Oryzias latipes: one gene and its partners. The protein of the gene in region 3 purifies or fractionates together with the protein of the main gene of each other region. This does not show direct contact. Links are inferred from orthologs where the notes say so. Each region holds a gene or a part of one and is shown on either strand. Other genes may lie near its edges. The genes, in order: ireb2, narfl and fam96a.

Region 1 (5,239 bases), about 9.3 Mb from region 3:
TTAAACACAAAAGGCTCAGTTTGCAGAAATTGCTGGCAACGTTCTTTTTCAGCAAAGTCGGAGATTACCCAACCTGGAAGGATCATCCTAAAACCAAAACTTTACTTTTCTCCTCAACACCTAAAAGACAGCGAGGGAGATTGTTGAATCAGATGAAAAAGTGTGAAGAAGGCAGATTTTGATCAACTTGAGTGTCTAAAAAAGCTTTTTTTTTGAGTGGCTTCAAACATCGGGTCATGTTTCTTAAATAACTTGTACAGCTGGCGCCGGCTGGATGATTTGAGGCGTTCAGACGCACAACAGAGCAGAAAACAGTCATTTCTGCATAAACGTGTGTGTGTGCAGCACACTGAATCACCACAAAAAGCCCATTCACTGTGATTTAAGCACCAAAATCCTCCCATGATCCTCACACGCAGATCCCCGCCCTTACCTAACGGCTCCTTCTCAAAGTCGATTCCCACAGTGCCCGCAATGGCGTAAGCCACCACCAGGGGAGGGGAGGCCAGGTAGTTGGCACGCACGCAGTCGCACAGGCGTCCTTCAAAGTGCCTGTTGCCGGACAACAGACCGCAGGTCACCAGATCCCCCTGAAATGAAGACGTTCATTATTAATGGGTTAAAACAAACAAGCAAATAGAAAAAAAGCACAGAGGAGGATCACAGATGGTGGAAAACTACCTGTTTGATGGCGTCCACGACGGCGTCCGGTAACGGTGCTGTGTTTCCAACGCAGGTGGCACAGCCGTAACCGATCACCTGAAACCTGTGGAGATATAAACACCAACGTTAGTGAAATAAGTCCAGACAACTTGAAAAAATAAAAAGACCAAATCTGAAAGTTTACTGGAAAAACTCCCCCAGTGAGCAACAAACGTTGAATTTGAAGTTTTATGGATTTATCATAGATTTGAAATATTTTACTATTTTAAACTAATGGCTTTTAATATTGATGGCTTTTATGGCTTTATTTTTTTTATTGTGTGTGTTGAATGGAAGCAGCTGGCCGCTTTTTAATTTCCTTCAGGATTAATAAAGTTTCTTCATCTCTTATCTCTCTGAGAGAAAACATAATCATATCACTGAAAAAAGAATTAAAGGATCCAAACATACAATCAGCGATAGAGAGCACCTTTTTTCCAGTTTCAGGTTGAGAAACATAGCTTTTGTTCAGTCAGATTACAGGGGGAAAAAACAGATTTTATGCAACTATCAGATGGAATAGAATCTGTTTTAAACTTGGTAGAAGTGGAGTGACATCAGAGGACAGAAAATCTCTAAAACATTGACTTCCAGCAGGTCCAGAGCAGTGGTTTCCAGTGGTTTTACCCCAGCTGACTGAAGTAAGGCAGAACGCCGCTGCTGTTGAGGTAGTGAGTGACCATCCCACTTCCAGGAGCCAGACTGGTCCGGATGTAAGGCTTGACAGTGAGGCCGGCTTCCACGGCCTTTTTGGCCAGAAGACCTGCAAAATAAGACGAGAATTAAATCAATAAAATGGTCTGTAGGCGAGAATGGGCAGCACAGAGGAGCATGAGGCATAAAAGAGGCTAAAAAATGTTTTTGTTTGCAATCAGTAAAACAAGCCTAAACAGCTGAAATAAAAGTACTTGGCATAAAAATCAAATCCTACATGCTTTTCTACTGAAGTGGAGATTCTGCCTTGAAAGGATCCCTTACTGGCTGAACGAAGACAAGAGGTTTTCAAACAAGATTGTCTCGATCTTATCATCAGTTTGTCTTCTATAGCTGCGTTCACACCGAATGCAAGGAGTCACCGGTCAAATGCGATTGGAGGTTTTGAGTGTCAGACATGCTGCAGCAGCAGCGTGTTTCAGGCTAAAGATTTTGCTACACATCCCGATGGTTCTAGAGTTCAAATATCTGGACTCGGGCGAAAACTCTGAACCTTCTCCCCCTGAACTTTATCATACTTTTCTTATTTATTATTATTTCCCTCCTTGGACTAATGTGGGACAGGAGGTCGTTAACTGGTTCACAGAGAGACGGAGGTACCGCTGAAAGCGGCTGACATTCAGACGCAGCTCCTGCAGCAGACTTTGGTGAAGCTCACCGCACTGAGAGAATCTCATGAACCCAGACATGGAGACGTGATTACAGAGGCTTTTGTAGAGCCCCTGAAAACAAATAAACGTGAACTCTAAACATCATTTATGTCTTCCATTATGCAGAGATAAAGCCAAACGTTTTTGACGGTAGCTCCACACACACACAGCAGGAGAGAAAGCTTTACAAAGACTTTTAGACAAGCTAGCAAATCTTGTTCAGTGTGAACGTAGAGTCGCTCCTTATTTTACTTCTCCTCCACCACTGACATCAGTGGCTTTTTATGAACCAGTTTGTAAGCTTTTTTTTATTTTCTAGCAGTAAATCAATCACTTCTAAAGCGCTTCATGGCGTCAGTCAGGCCCCCACCTGCAGTCAGCATGACAGACGGATTGCAGTTATTGGTGCAGCTGATGACGGCGGCGATGACCACCGAGCCGTGCACCAGCTGGTACTCCTGACCGCAGTGCAGGAAGGGGACCCGAGTCTCCTGCTTCTCCTTGGAAATGTGGAAACCTTTAAAGCCCACCTGGGATGGAGAGAGACGTTTGTGAGGAGTCAAAGGCGGCGCTTCGGCCTGACTAAACCCCCCGTGTGCGTTCTTTTGCAGCTCACCTTCTCTTCCAGACAACTCTGAAAGTCTGCCTTCATGTTACTGACCGCCACCCTGTCTTGGGGCCTTTTGGGGCCACTGACGTGGGGCACCATGGAGCTCAGGTTGATCTCGATAACCTGCAAAGGCATCAATGCTTTTCTATCAGTTCGTTGTGGAAAGAGGTGCGCCAAACGCTCCGGAGAACAGCAGCCATGTAGGAACGATGGAACATGAAAGAAAAGTGTTTAGATACGGAGGAGCAGATTTTGGGGAGTTTACCTCGGAATACTGGACGTCTTCCGGAGGTTCTTCATAGCTTCGGAAAAGTTTGACTGCCTTCACGTAAGACTCCATCAATTCAAGTTTTTCATGGCTGAAATCTGCAACAGCGAGTTCCAACAACAGCTTTAATCACCGAGACCCAACAGACTGAGCACAAAGCGTCCGGGTTTTACAGCTAAACGCTGAGCGGCTCACTTGTCTTTTTAAAGTGCTTGAGTGTGACTCGGTCGATGGGGAAGAAGCTGACGGTGGCGTTGTACTCCGGGCACATGTTGGCGATGGTGGTCCGGTCAGGAGCCGACAGCTGGGAGACTCCGGGTCCGAAGAACTCAACGAACCTCCCAGCGATGCCAGCCTGCCGCAAGTGCTGAGAAAGCAGTGCAAAAGAAACGTTAACACAGTGTTCAGGAAAGGTCTGGATGATTCCAAATATGAAGAACTCCTGCAGAAATAGAGGAATCGTTTTCCTTTTTTTTGTTAGGTGGGAAGGAGAAAAACAAAGTTCTTTGCGCTGGAACGTTTCATTGTTCACAAGAAGCTAAGGAGCAGAACGAATGAGAAATTTATTTACTACAACTGTGTGGTAAAAGTCCGATTTGAACTGGAACTTTTATAATTCCACAGGTTTTTCCTCTAGTTCCTCTAGAGGAAAAACAACTATTTTCAAGTTAGAAGTTATTATTGAAAATTATCGCAACTTTTAGGAAAAACAGCTGCAACTTCAAAATATTTTTGCCTCAATTATTACAAAAAATGCTACCAAGATGGTGGACAGACCGGACATCAATACAGACCATAGAGTTTCTCTCTTTTTTTTTTTTTGGTTGCTGGATTTTTGTCGAGGAAAACAGTGTACTTGGGCTCCAAAAAGGTTGAAAAACCCCTGCTGCAGTCCACGTCCTGTTCTGTTTCAATCAGCTGACTGACTTTGTTGTTGGTGCTTTAAGCTGAGGGAGCTCAACACCAGTGACTAAGTTTACCTAATAGAGAGCATTCAGTCTGTGGGGTCATATCCTTAATGACATAATTATACGTTCAGAAAGAACAGGAATATTGGGATTCCCGTGTTTCGGAGCATTTTCTAAATAATACACCGTCAGCAGCAGGAGACGTCATGAAGGAAGAAGTGGATATTTTCCCATCAACAACATAAAGAGCCTGTGTTTGATTATTCCCAAACATGCAGAGAGTTGGGGAAAAAGTTCACAGAATGGGAAAAGAAAGAAGGGGTTATTTTTTAGGGATCAAGAACATTAGAATACAGCGTTAACTTCTGCACGCCTTTAAACGAGCCTAAAGAGTTAAAGTGCTACAAAAAGCATCACATGGGTTTCTCCCGTTATCAGGAATGCCTGTTTACGTAGCCGAGAGTTATTTAATATATAATCTCATTATGCTAAATGATTAGAAGTGGAAGTGCTCAAACAGTGAATCAGTAAAAAATGTCATTCATACGCTCAAAGTCCAACTGGTTTATTTGTGCTTAATGAAACAATGGATAATTTAAACTTTAGAAAATGCTTTTGTTTGGTTAGAAAAACACGTTTTCAACATGAGTGATGACAAGTAATTATCACTACAATTAAATTAAAATGTATATTTTGATGAAATAAGTTAAATTAATAAAATAATTTAAAGTTATATACAAATATAATATATATATTACATACATTCTACATAATATATACATAAAAAAAGAAAGACTAAATATAAATGACTAAATTAATAAAACATGTAAAAACACTGAACCTGGATCTGGATCCTTAGTCTTTCTTTTTGGGACTCCCAAATAAAAATGCAATGTCTAAAGAAAAGAAAAGACCGTACCATGTGTGGATTTATGCTGCAAGACTTTAGTTTTGTCAAAGGTTTTGTTCAGCTTGTTTACATTCTGAGCCTGTTAGTGTCCATTTTAATTGATATTTTTATAATTTAATATATTTTACATTTAAAAACAATCTTTCTAAATGTTTTCAATCAAAAAAATATTGAGGCTTAATACAAAACAATAAAGGACAGTTAAAAAACTGTTTTTAAAAATTAAATTATATTCTTTGTTGAAAATAATAAACATATAGATACATACAAAATAAATCAACTACATAATAGATAAAAGAAACATATATAAATCTTAATACGTTTTAAAAAAAAAAAACGCTTTACAAAATAAAAAAAGAAATATTTGAAATAAATTCATTAGAATAAATTAGATTATTTTACATTAAAAATAATAAATAACATTTCCTTCAAGTTTTTTTTTGTTGATGGTTTAAAACAAATAAATAAATTTAACTA
Region 2 (5,696 bases), on a different chromosome or scaffold from region 3:
TTCTTATTTGTCCTTCCAAAAGAAAGGGATGGAATGTAAACATAAGAATATCGATTCAGGAATTTCTCAATCATTTCAACATTTTCTGAGTGAAGATTATAGACTCAAGTTGATTCATCAATACTTTAAACATAGTTCCAGATTTAGCACATACCTCTTGATTAGCAGTGTGGTCAGTCTCCACCCGTTTACAGTCGTTATGTAACTTGTGCTGGATAAATGCTTCAAGCGTGGAAAATTCGGATTGACAGCGTCCACACTTGTGTACATCGTCTAAAAACACAAAGACGAAGCATATTTAGCTACCATTAGCTTAAAAAACTATCTAGCACCAAAAAGCTATCACCTGCTTATCTGGGCATCTTTTAAAAAGGCCGCTGACAACTCAAACCTGCAGCAAAGCCGTAAACTAGATGTTGCTAAAGACGAATTAGCAACAATTTCGCGATGGAGGAAGTTAGCAAGGCCCAAACTACGGACAAAAAACCCTGATTTTGGGAGTGTTTTGAACTGGCTGAAAACTAACCTTCATCTCCAAGGGTGGTTTGAATGGTGATAGTCTCACTGCCGTTCGTCGTTCGCTCCTTCTCTGTTTCTGCCGTATGATTATTTTCTGCATTCATGTCGTTTGACTTCTCCGTCTCTGTCGCAACGCTGTGCTGGGGAGGGAAAACATGGCGGATTTACGACCCTGTAGTCATAACAACAAAAGAGCGCATGCACTCGCATGCAGAAGATAAAATAATAAACGAAACATTTAACCACAAAAATAAAAAGGCATTCAAAAAACGATACATTTGTTATTATTATTATTATTTATTTTTTATTATTTTTTTGTTGAAAGAAAACGTGATAAAATCGTTAAAGCTGTCGTCATTTATATTTGGATTTTTACTTATATTTCATTTGTATTTTTGAAAAAATATTACTCTATAAATGTTCCAATAGCGATAGTAAAAATATTGGCATTTATATTGACAATGCACATTTTACTACATAGAGATGCAGTATGTCAAACACACAACCATCATCACGAATAAAATGTCACCTCTTAGTGTAAACCACAAAGATTTTCTATTTAAAAAACATTCCATTTTTAAAATTACTCTTGAATTATTTAAGACTCTTCAAATTACTGTATGATATATTTTAGGATGAGCATCTGACATCTTTTTGTCAAGATTCTCTCAAGGCACTTCACAAAAAGCAAACTGAATGAAGCAATGTTGTTTTATTCAGACTTTCCCCTAAAGTTGTACTAGATTGTTCAGTATAGGTTGTTACAATCTGACCAAAATTCCTTTGTTGTATTTATATTTTGTCCCTAATTAAGTGACCAACATATTCTAATACAGGTTCTTTTGTGTGTTCCACTTGACATATAACTAATAAAATGCAAACTTTAAAAAAAAAAATATTACATCTACAGAAGAAACTGTGCAAATACAAACAATTAGCACAATCAAGTTAAAAGTTGTTCTAACTAATAGAAAAAATCTTTTGACAAATTACAAAGATATAATCCATTTGCAAATCTGCAAATTAAATTACACAAAAAAGCCTTTGTGATTTGTGAATACGATTTGAATAGATACAACATAAAACAACCCAAGTATTTACCAGATACTGTGGTAAAAAAAATGTATTTACTTATTTTATCTTAGTTGACAAATGTTGCACATACAGAACATGCATGGCAAACCCATTGACTGTATGAGAGAATGGGGCAAACTATTACTATTAGTGGAGCCTGAACGTGCTCTTCCAGACCAGCATTTCACGACACAAGAGTAAACAACGGGTTTGCGGCAGTAACTATGGCCTCTGTCTTCAGCGGTGTACTGCAACTGACAGATCTGGACGATTTTATCACCCCTTCCCAGGTCAGTGTCAAAAATAATACTTAAGTTTATTCTAGAAGGACATTACAAGCAGAGGAGTTTCGCTTATTTCCCAATCAAAATGCTAAAAGCTCAGTTCGCTCTTAGGGAGCTAAGCTAGCATGCTCTGGTGGTGGTAGTTGCTCTTGTAAGTGCTGTTCCTGGAAGAAGAAACCAAAACAAACAGATTCTAGTTAGCCTTTACGTTAGTAAACATGTAGTGTTCGTTTCTAGTTTTTACATATATTACTTTCGTCTAAAATTACAATTCATTGGCAGCAAAAATAACGAATCGGTTAGCTTTTGTTTTGCTAATGGTAACACAGATGTCAAAACATGGAAAGAAGTTGCAGTATTGATCGGACTTTCAAACAGACAAAAGTCAAAACACATGGATAAAACATGTCTTTACTTCATGTATTCGTCATTCATCCTGTTGCCACTGACTTTTGTTTTGAGCTCCTGTAACCCCAGATGCTTGAATGATGCCCCTGTATCCCCTCCAAACTTATGACTTCTCAAGACGAAAATAACACTTAAAGGCCTTGTTTTCTCCACCTACATTTGGTCAATGATAAACTATTACTAATTCAATGTGATCAAATCTAAGCTCTCTGATCATTCTGACTTTTGTGGTGTAAATTTGCTTACAGTTCTCCCATCCCATTTTTGCATGTTGACAGAAACTACGTATCAGGTTCAACGGTTGTTTACCTTTTTGTTTTTTTCATATCTGTGTTTTTCGTTAGGAATGTGTCAAACCAATAAAAGTCGAGAAGAAACAAGGCAAATCTGTGGCCAGAATACAGATAGAGGATGATGGTAGTTATGTCCAAGTCAACCAGGTGAGGATTCACACTTATTTTTGCCTTTTAGTCTGAGGTATTTGAATCATGAATGGACTTCATAGAGCAGACTGTCAGAGTACCAAATGCAATAATTTAGTATCATGCTCATGGAAGTGTCTTGTGTTGAAAGGATGGCGGGAAGGAGAAGCTGGAAAAAGCAAAGATCTCACTGAACGACTGCTTGGCGTGCAGCGGTTGCATCACCTCAGCTGAGAGTGTCCTCATCACTCAGCAGAGCCCCGAGGAGCTTTTAAAAGTGCTTCGGAACAACAAGGTAGAGTGTTTTGCTCAGTTTGTCTACTTATGGTTGGGTTTGTGTTCCGCTTAAGTCTTCGTTCCCCCACAGGGTGCAGCAGAGCAGAAGACTGTGGTGGTGTCCGTGTCCCCGCAGTCCAGAGCGTCCCTCGCTGCACACTTTGGTATCAGCAGCAGTGAGGCAGGAAGGAGGCTCACCTCTTTCCTCAAAAACCTGGGTAACGTTTCCCTCTTTTAATGTTTCATAAATCAAGTTGAAGCAGTGGCTGTGTACGTGTCTGAAAGATGGTCGCTTTTTTTTACAGGGGTTCACTATGTGTTTGACACCAGCTTTAGTCGGACCTTCAGTCTGCTGGAAAGTCAGAGAGAGTTTGTGGAACGTTTCCAGAGGAAGGGACAGGACAACAAGGCTCTGCCCATGTTAACCTCCGCCTGTCCAGGTACGGACATAGAGCTCCATGATAGAAAATAGAAGCCAAAACTTCACAACTTCTTTGAAAGCTTTTAGCTTGATTTGAATGTGGAACGGAAACCACATTTGTGTATTTATTTTGTTTTTGAAGGCCTTCTATTTCGTATTTTATATATTTATCAAAGCCTAATAGTGAATGTTCATGACATTATCTTTAGCTCCAAAAGCTTAGACAGAGTTTTCAATCGGAATCTCAGTATCACCACTTTGTTTCAGGTCCTTGACGTTTTTTAAGGGTATCAGTTTACGCTCTTCTTTTCTCTGAAAACGTCTCTGAAAGGTTGAGGTCAGGACTTTTGCTGAGCTGTTGTAGCAGCTCAACCCCCCCCACCCCCCACCCCACCATGCTGTTAATGATTTGCTAGGGTGTTTGGGATTGACTCACATTTGACTTTGCGATGTTTGACCGTCCAGTTCATGACTGAAGCTGTGACAGCAGCTCTCATTAAAACTAAAAAAAGACAATTAGCACAACTTTTCTATAGGCTTTGGTTAGGAATGAAATAGTTGGTGCATCAAACGCTTTGAACTCCATTCAGACCAAAGTGTGCGTTTATGTGTGTTCAGGTTGGATCTGCTATGCAGAGAAGACACACGGGGAGTATATTCTCCCATATATCAGCACCACCCGCTCCCCCCAGCAGATGATGGGGTCTCTGGTTAAAAGCCACTTTGCAGAAAAGCAGGTGGGGTTTGGATTTCTCCGTTCTGTAAATATTTCAATAAAGACTAACTGAGCTGGATCTGTTTGTGCTGTTAGGGGCTGAGTCCTCAGCAGATTTACCATGTGGCTGTGATGCCCTGCTTCGACAAGAAACTCGAAGCGTCACGCTCAGATTTTTTTATGAACAAAGCGGAGACCAGAGAAGTGGATTGTGTCATAACGTCTGGTACAGTAATTACCCTTATAAGTAATACTTAGGTGCATATGCAGCATCCACATGGTTATTTGTCTGTCCTCTCTTCAGGAGAGGTTCAGAAAATGCTGGAGGAACATCATATTTCTCTGAATGATGTTGAGCCTGGAACTCTTGATTCGATGTAAGTTCCCTCTTTTTTTAAGAAAACTTTATCTCTCAAAACTCTTCTGATGCTGCCTATTTTTACCCTCAGGTTCAGCAGCGTCTGTGGGGATGAGCTCCTGAGCCACGCTGGCAGTGGATCCGGAGGTTACCTCCATCACGTCTTCACCTATGCTGCTAAGCAGCTCTTTGGAGAAGAAGTAAAGGAGCTCACCTACAAAACTCTAAGGTTTGCTCACCTATATAAATTGTGTCTTTTTACAAAAAAAACAAAAAGTTGCTTTTCTCATCTTCACTCTTGTTCGATGGCCCAGGAACAAAGACTTCCAGGAGGTGAGACTGGAGAAAGATGGGGAAGTTCTGCTGTGCTTTGCTGCAACATACGGATTTCGCAACATTCAGAACCTTGTGCAGAAACTGAAAAGGGGAAAATCCCTGTACCATTTTGTAGAAGTTATGGCCTGTCCATCAGGTATGATTTTTTTATAGTTGGAATAGATTAAAAAAAAAAAATTCTAACTTTGATGCAGATACGATACTTTTATCCTTCTTTTTATTCTCCCAGGCTGCCTTAACGGAGGCGGACAGATAAAGGCAGCCGCTGGTCAGAACCAGAAAGAGCTGCTTCAAAAAGTTGAGGAGCTGTACAAGGAAGAGCGCCCCCTACTGCCAGAGGATGACACTCGCGTGGCAGAGATTTACCAAACATGGCTCCATGGCGTGGGAGAAGACAGAGCCAGAGAGCTGCTGCGCACACAATACCACGCTGTAGAGAAGATGACCAACGGACTCACCATTAAGTGGTGATGAGTCAGCAGTATACCGCTGAGAGTCCCAGCTGATGATCCCTGTGCCTCAAGATGACCCAAATGTCTTTTTTTGGTTGTTCAAAGTATAAAAACAATGCTTTAAAAAAGATAATTATTACTCTTTTATTTAATAGTTATATGTACATATGCTTTTGCAGAAATAAAATGACCACAAAAGCTAGTTATTAACTGATGTGCTTTTTTTAATAGAAATTTTTAATGAACAGTTAGTTTTGTATTAGAAAGCAGCAGAAGTTGCAATGACAACAAACAGTTTTCTTCTTTACCCTGTTGGTAAAAGTTCAAATAAAGTAGAAACTCTGTACATAAAACAACAACAAGAAAAACATATTACACTTAAATTCTAACAACATTCTTGAAGAAATTGAATTTTTAATGATCTAGTTCAA
Region 3 (5,239 bases):
ATGCTGCTGATAAAGTTGCATTCACAGTTGATTCATGACTTTTATTATATTTAAAATGATCTTTTTTTTAATGACTGTCCAATTAATTAAGTTTGTTGTATTAATCTGCCACATCTTAAAGTCTGGTCTGTGAAAATATTTTCAGACATTAAACCAGTTTGTGGTCACATACTTGTGACGCACACAAAACAGCTCATTGACATAGCATCAGAGAATCATAGCATGGGCGAGGGAGGAGCTGCAGACAAAACAAGACCCTTTTCAGTATGGTCTCCATACAATTACAATATCATTAAGTTCAGGAGAACCACAAACTGCAATCATCTCCTCTTCCATCAGGTGACCCAATGCAAAGCTTCACCAAAGTTCAGCTATTTGCACTCTGTGACAGAAACTTGGCTGCACAGCACATTGTTTCCAGAGTTCAAATATCTGAAGTTTTGCATTGGGTCACTAGATCAGGAACTACGCTTTGGTATTTTCGTGTTGATCTTATTAGCGGCTGGAGTCCAAAATCAAATGGAGGAAGAGTTGATGATTGCCGTCGGTATAAAAGGGTTTATATATTTTGCTAGAAATGGTATCAAAATAAAGATTAGTCCACAAAATCTTATTTTGTGGGATTTTCCACCAAAACAATAGCAAATATCTACGTTTTGTTCATGGCAGGCAGATAATTAAGTCACCTGAGCTAAGAAAGCTCGTAGAAAAAGAAACTAAAACGTAGCCATCTTACAATTTAAAGCCTGTTTTTGTAAAACTATGTTTGTCCCTGTGGCCAACCCAAAAACCTTGGAATGGTTTTGATTCTTGTCATGTCACAGACAGTGAAGATGCAGGCATCAGTAGAGACTGTCTGACAGTCTCAAAAGCTACTGCACGATGTGTGATGAGATAGGACCTTGCCAGAGTTTTAAACCCTATTTTCAGTATGGATCCACAGTTAAACATGGGGGGGCAGGGCGGTAGTTGTTTGATCATTTGTTGAATTTTGAACTTCTATCCAAGCATTCATTCTAAAATACACTGTATTGTAATATGGTATATACAGTGCTGAGCACTGTATATACCATATTACTACAGACAATGAAACTAATAATCAGAGGTGGATTTGTAATCAATTAATCTATTGCCATAAACTTTATTCCAAATATTTTGTGTGTACAATAAACAAAATGTGACATTTTTCCCTTAGAGGAAAACTTCCCCTAAAAAAGACACAAAGATGAACAGAAAAATCAATATGTGCATACCATAATGAACTAATGATGTGGTCAAGTTTGCACATTTAAAGATTTTGGCTCCCAGATTTGTAATTAACATTCAGTGTGTCCAACAGCATCTGTAGTGTGCGGAGCATATGACAATAAGATTGAAGAGTAACAATAAGTGCAGATCACTTTTTTCTAACATAGAACTGCATTCATTTTCTGTTCCTAAACCAACGGCTTATTTTTACAAAAGAATAGCAAAGTGTTTGTTAGAAACTCTAAAAATGATTCACTCTCAGCCTCACGTCAGTTTTTATGTGGGGATGAAAGTGTGACTCTCAAGTGGGAGGAGTCAAAACCAAACTCAGACTTTTTCCAGTTTGTGAAACAGCTCATCTTGAATTTGGTCAGGATTTCTATTGAGTTAGCTTTTTGGGAAAAGACCCTGGGAATAGAATGTGCCTTTAGTTACTTTTGTTTTTAAATGTCCTTTAGCCCCCCCACCCCCTCAGACAAAGACTGACACGCAACAGCTTTAATTCATTTAAAACATCTAAAAGTACAAATCATTTTTAAGAAAATCAGAACTTCTCAAGCATCAGTTTAAGTTTCTCTCCGCAAAAACATTTTCATCATTTTCCCTCTTGCGGCATGAGAAAAAAAAAAGGAAAAAGGGACAGTTGTTTTCCTTCTGGGTCAAAAAGGTCCAACCTGATCCTGTCCTTTGCTCAAATGGACAATTCAATCACGCACAAACACACACTGAGGCTCAGTCGTCTGGTTCCGTCACGCACTGCTCCACGATCTCTCGAAGGTTGGGGTTCTCCATAGCGGCGGCCACTCGCTCCTTATCATTGATTTGTTTGTTTACTGGTCACAGAAAAATATAGAAATGACAAAAAGTTGCATGAAAGCATCCAAGCTCGTGACAAATCAAAACAGGGAACATGAGACAGACATGCATGTGTCCTGATGGAGGGAAGTTTCATGACAGCAGAGAAACTTACTGTCTTCCTCTGTAGAATGGGTTCCTTCTGAAAGGTAAATTTCCAGCTTGAAACAAAAGACAGACAACAGAAAATTTCAGTTTACGCTGAAGGAAAAGAGGTGAAGGTCTAGAGACAAACTGGTACTGATGATAGAGAGATGAGACACTAGGCCTGCACAATATACCGCAAATTTATCGTTATCGCAATATCCAGCTCTGCAATATGCATATCGCAAAAGATGGCGAATATCGCAACAAATCGCAAACCCAAAATGTGTTAAAACAATCTTCTAGCAGCTTGAAGCATTTAACGAATCAAATAAATCCCTTTATGCTTTGACCAATCAGATGGACGCCTTCCCATTGTTGACCAATCAGATGGAGGCCTATTATGTTAACCCTGGTCCTGAAGAGCCTCAACCCTGCCTGTTTTCCAGCTCTCCTTAACCAGCTTGCTGTTGATTGGCTGACTCAAGTGATTTCACATCCTGATTGACTGAACACACCTGATTTTGGTTATCATTATCGAGCAGTCTAGGGCAGGGGTGGGCAATTCCAGGCCTCGAGGACCGGTGTGTCTGCATGATTTCAAGATAGCCTTTCCCTACTCATGGCTTATTACCTGGTTCAGGTGTGTCCAGCCAATTAGAACATGCCAGAGCAGGGTATGCTGGAAAACATGCAGGAATGCGGCCCTCAGTGCCCACCTCTGGTCTAGGGAGAATTGGAAAACAGGGTTGAGGCTCTTGAGGACCAGGGTTAGCCACCCTGACGTTTGTCCCCCATGTCGATGAGGGTCATTTGGAGTATAATTTTTAAACTGTTGCAATGAAATGGGAATGATGTTTTTGTTTATTTTTCTATTTGTTTATTTACCGCAAATTTATCGTTATCGCAATATTGATCACTAATATCCCATATCGCAAGTTTTCCTCATATCGTGCAGCCCTATGAGACACTAACTTCCCTTATCTGCCTACTCACTGCTTTTAGAACCAGAACCAGGAGTTCCTATTTTCCAAATATACTTATGTTCAGGTGTTGAAGCTAACGTGGTGACCTCTGGAGCAGCAGTTCTTAAACTACAGTAAGTGCAATCTTGGGGTACACAAAAAGCCATGGGGGTATATCAGAGGAGAAAGAGAAACAATCAGAAATTGTAATTCGGTTTAAAATGTTTGATTGGCACGTGACTAAGTTTTCTCAGAGCAATGCTGAATTGGACAATTGGATATTAAAAAAAAAACATCCAACTCCAGCTTCGACAACCAGTCAGCTCTCAGCTGAAGACATTCTTACCATGACCTCATAGGTTAAAAAACGTATTTATCAAATCGGTTTGCTAGCACTGATGAGTCTATAGGCAGCAACTAGCACGGCCAGTGATGATCCTGTGGAAAGGGATGAGTGAAGAGTTGAATGCAGAGCCTTGAACCTAGAGAGAGCATGTCGCCTCAGACTAACTAACACACATCTGGGGCTGGCGGCGCAGTAACGTAGTCACCTCCAGGAGACTTGACGGCTCACATGACTGGATACGTAACCCATTTACTGCTGTGCCTACTTTGGTTTCAGGATCTGACCAGGAGAACCTAACAGAGAATCCCACAGACAGGTCTCTGTAGGCAGAGTTTACTTCTAAAACCCTGGCATATTTCTGGATAGTACAACGGAATGAACAGCCTGTGCTGGCTAAGCGTGCTGTCAAGACTGATGCTTTTTGCCACCAAATAACCTGTGCAAAAGTGGACTCTCTTCCATTCACACACGAAAACTAAATACAGATCATGACTTTGGGTGGAAAGTGGTTTAAGACTCAGCCTTTCACAGATTGAGCCAAACAATGAAGAACTGTGTTCATCTAAACAGCACATCCATTACAAAGTGATGAGCTCCACTTGAAGTGGTTAAGTTTGCATCTGTTTTTCTGTAAGCATGCGCAGTGAATGCAGGAAGGAAGATGCATGTGTGGGGCAGCGTGCAGCTGGACAACAGGAAGGCTCACCTTGTGTTTGAAAGGCAAACAGCGCTGCAGCTTCACTTGTAGGCACAAACCTGCAAACATAGCAAGGTTCAGAAGACAACCGACACTGGAGCTTATTCCAAGAAAGAGGCCCAACTTAGCCGAAGCTGTATAGGCAGAGTTTAAGCTGGAAACATAAGAAAAAAAATTGACCTGTTCTAACTAGGACAAGTCTGAATTTGTCACACAGACACGAGAATGTCATCATCAGGGAAGCTCAGATTTAGGGATTAACCATAACAACAGATCAACAAAAACCCAATATTAAATGTATGTTATAGAAACTAACTGAAGCCTCGAAAGTGTCTTTTCCAACAGAGCTTTCAGCCTCACACGATGATTTGACATGCTAAATAATATCATTTTTATAATGATCTTATAATTAGTTAAGAATATGGTTTTCCTTACAATAAAAATGTGTGACAAACATGTATGTTCAGTATAGCAGCTGGAACTTTTTGAAAGTGTTATTAGTTCAATCCAACAATGTATTTTTGTGCTCATTAGGACCGCTCTGATTATATACAATGATTTCTAATGAATCACCCCTGCTGTGAGTCTGCATTCCTGAGCATAGTCCTTATCTGTTTGTGGTACAGGCTGTTTACAACTGCAGCTGCTTGGCTCCAGTGATCACAATCACTGACCAGAACCAGCCTGTTCACGGCGGCAGACCCAACACCCTGACCCACGTCCATTTAGAAGCAGAATGACTTTGTAGCTACAACGACCAAACCTAATCTAAATGTCTTTTCCGGGATTCAGGGCCTTACACCTATGTATTATATGCTATGTAGTATGTTTAATAGTCAAGAAAAAAAGGTAAATGGTGTATACTTGTATAGCGCTTTAGTACCTTCTTAGAAGGTCCATAGTGATTTACAGTCACAGTCCCATTCATATACTGATGGCACTACCTATAACCACCAGGAGCAATGGGGAGTTCAGTGTTGTGCCAGCAATCCAATCTTCCAATCAGAGGTCGACCGCTCTAACTTTGCACCACGACAGCCACTG

The links.
Region 1: the proteins of fam96a (region 3) and ireb2 purify together in Homo sapiens (affinity purification with mass spectrometry; 3 studies listed by BioGRID and IntAct, with this or other methods). This does not show direct contact. The link is inferred for Oryzias latipes from reciprocal best matches to the Homo sapiens genes CIAO2A and IREB2.
Region 2: the proteins of fam96a (region 3) and narfl purify together in Homo sapiens (affinity purification with mass spectrometry; 4 studies listed by BioGRID and IntAct, with this or other methods). This does not show direct contact. The link is inferred for Oryzias latipes from reciprocal best matches to the Homo sapiens genes CIAO2A and CIAO3.

What each region holds. Positions count from the first base shown.
Region 1 is NC_019864.2:10,478,452-10,483,690, reverse strand, and holds part of ireb2 (iron-responsive element-binding protein 2), read right to left. Parts: intron 3,312-5,239; coding exon 3,140-3,311; intron 3,043-3,139; coding exon 2,942-3,042; intron 2,800-2,941; coding exon 2,683-2,799; intron 2,597-2,682; coding exon 2,437-2,596; intron 1,466-2,436; coding exon 1,330-1,465; intron 767-1,329; coding exon 682-766; intron 591-681; coding exon 434-590; intron 1-433. UniProt on the Homo sapiens protein: RNA-binding protein that binds to iron-responsive elements (IRES), which are stem-loop structures found in the 5'-UTR of ferritin, and delta aminolevulinic acid synthase mRNAs, and in the 3'-UTR of transferrin receptor mRNA.
Region 2 is NC_019866.2:12,257,053-12,262,748, forward strand, and holds narfl (cytosolic Fe-S cluster assembly factor NARFL), read left to right. Parts: upstream 1-1,759; 5' UTR 1,760-1,817; coding exon 1,818-1,883; intron 1,884-2,629; coding exon 2,630-2,725; intron 2,726-2,858; coding exon 2,859-3,002; intron 3,003-3,074; coding exon 3,075-3,201; intron 3,202-3,288; coding exon 3,289-3,423; intron 3,424-4,022; coding exon 4,023-4,141; intron 4,142-4,215; coding exon 4,216-4,345; intron 4,346-4,423; coding exon 4,424-4,496; intron 4,497-4,568; coding exon 4,569-4,706; intron 4,707-4,791; coding exon 4,792-4,949; intron 4,950-5,042; coding exon 5,043-5,284; 3' UTR 5,285-5,472; downstream 5,473-5,696. Other genes in the region: transcription factor E4F1, read right to left, coding at 155-273, 527-623.
Region 3 is NC_019864.2:1,197,295-1,202,533, reverse strand, and holds the end of fam96a (MIP18 family protein FAM96A), read right to left. Parts: intron 4,255-5,239; coding exon 4,205-4,254; intron 2,265-4,204; coding exon 2,219-2,264; intron 2,082-2,218; coding exon 1,981-2,081; 3' UTR 1,122-1,980; downstream 1-1,121. UniProt on the Homo sapiens protein: Component of the cytosolic iron-sulfur protein assembly (CIA) complex, a multiprotein complex that mediates the incorporation of iron-sulfur cluster into extramitochondrial Fe/S proteins.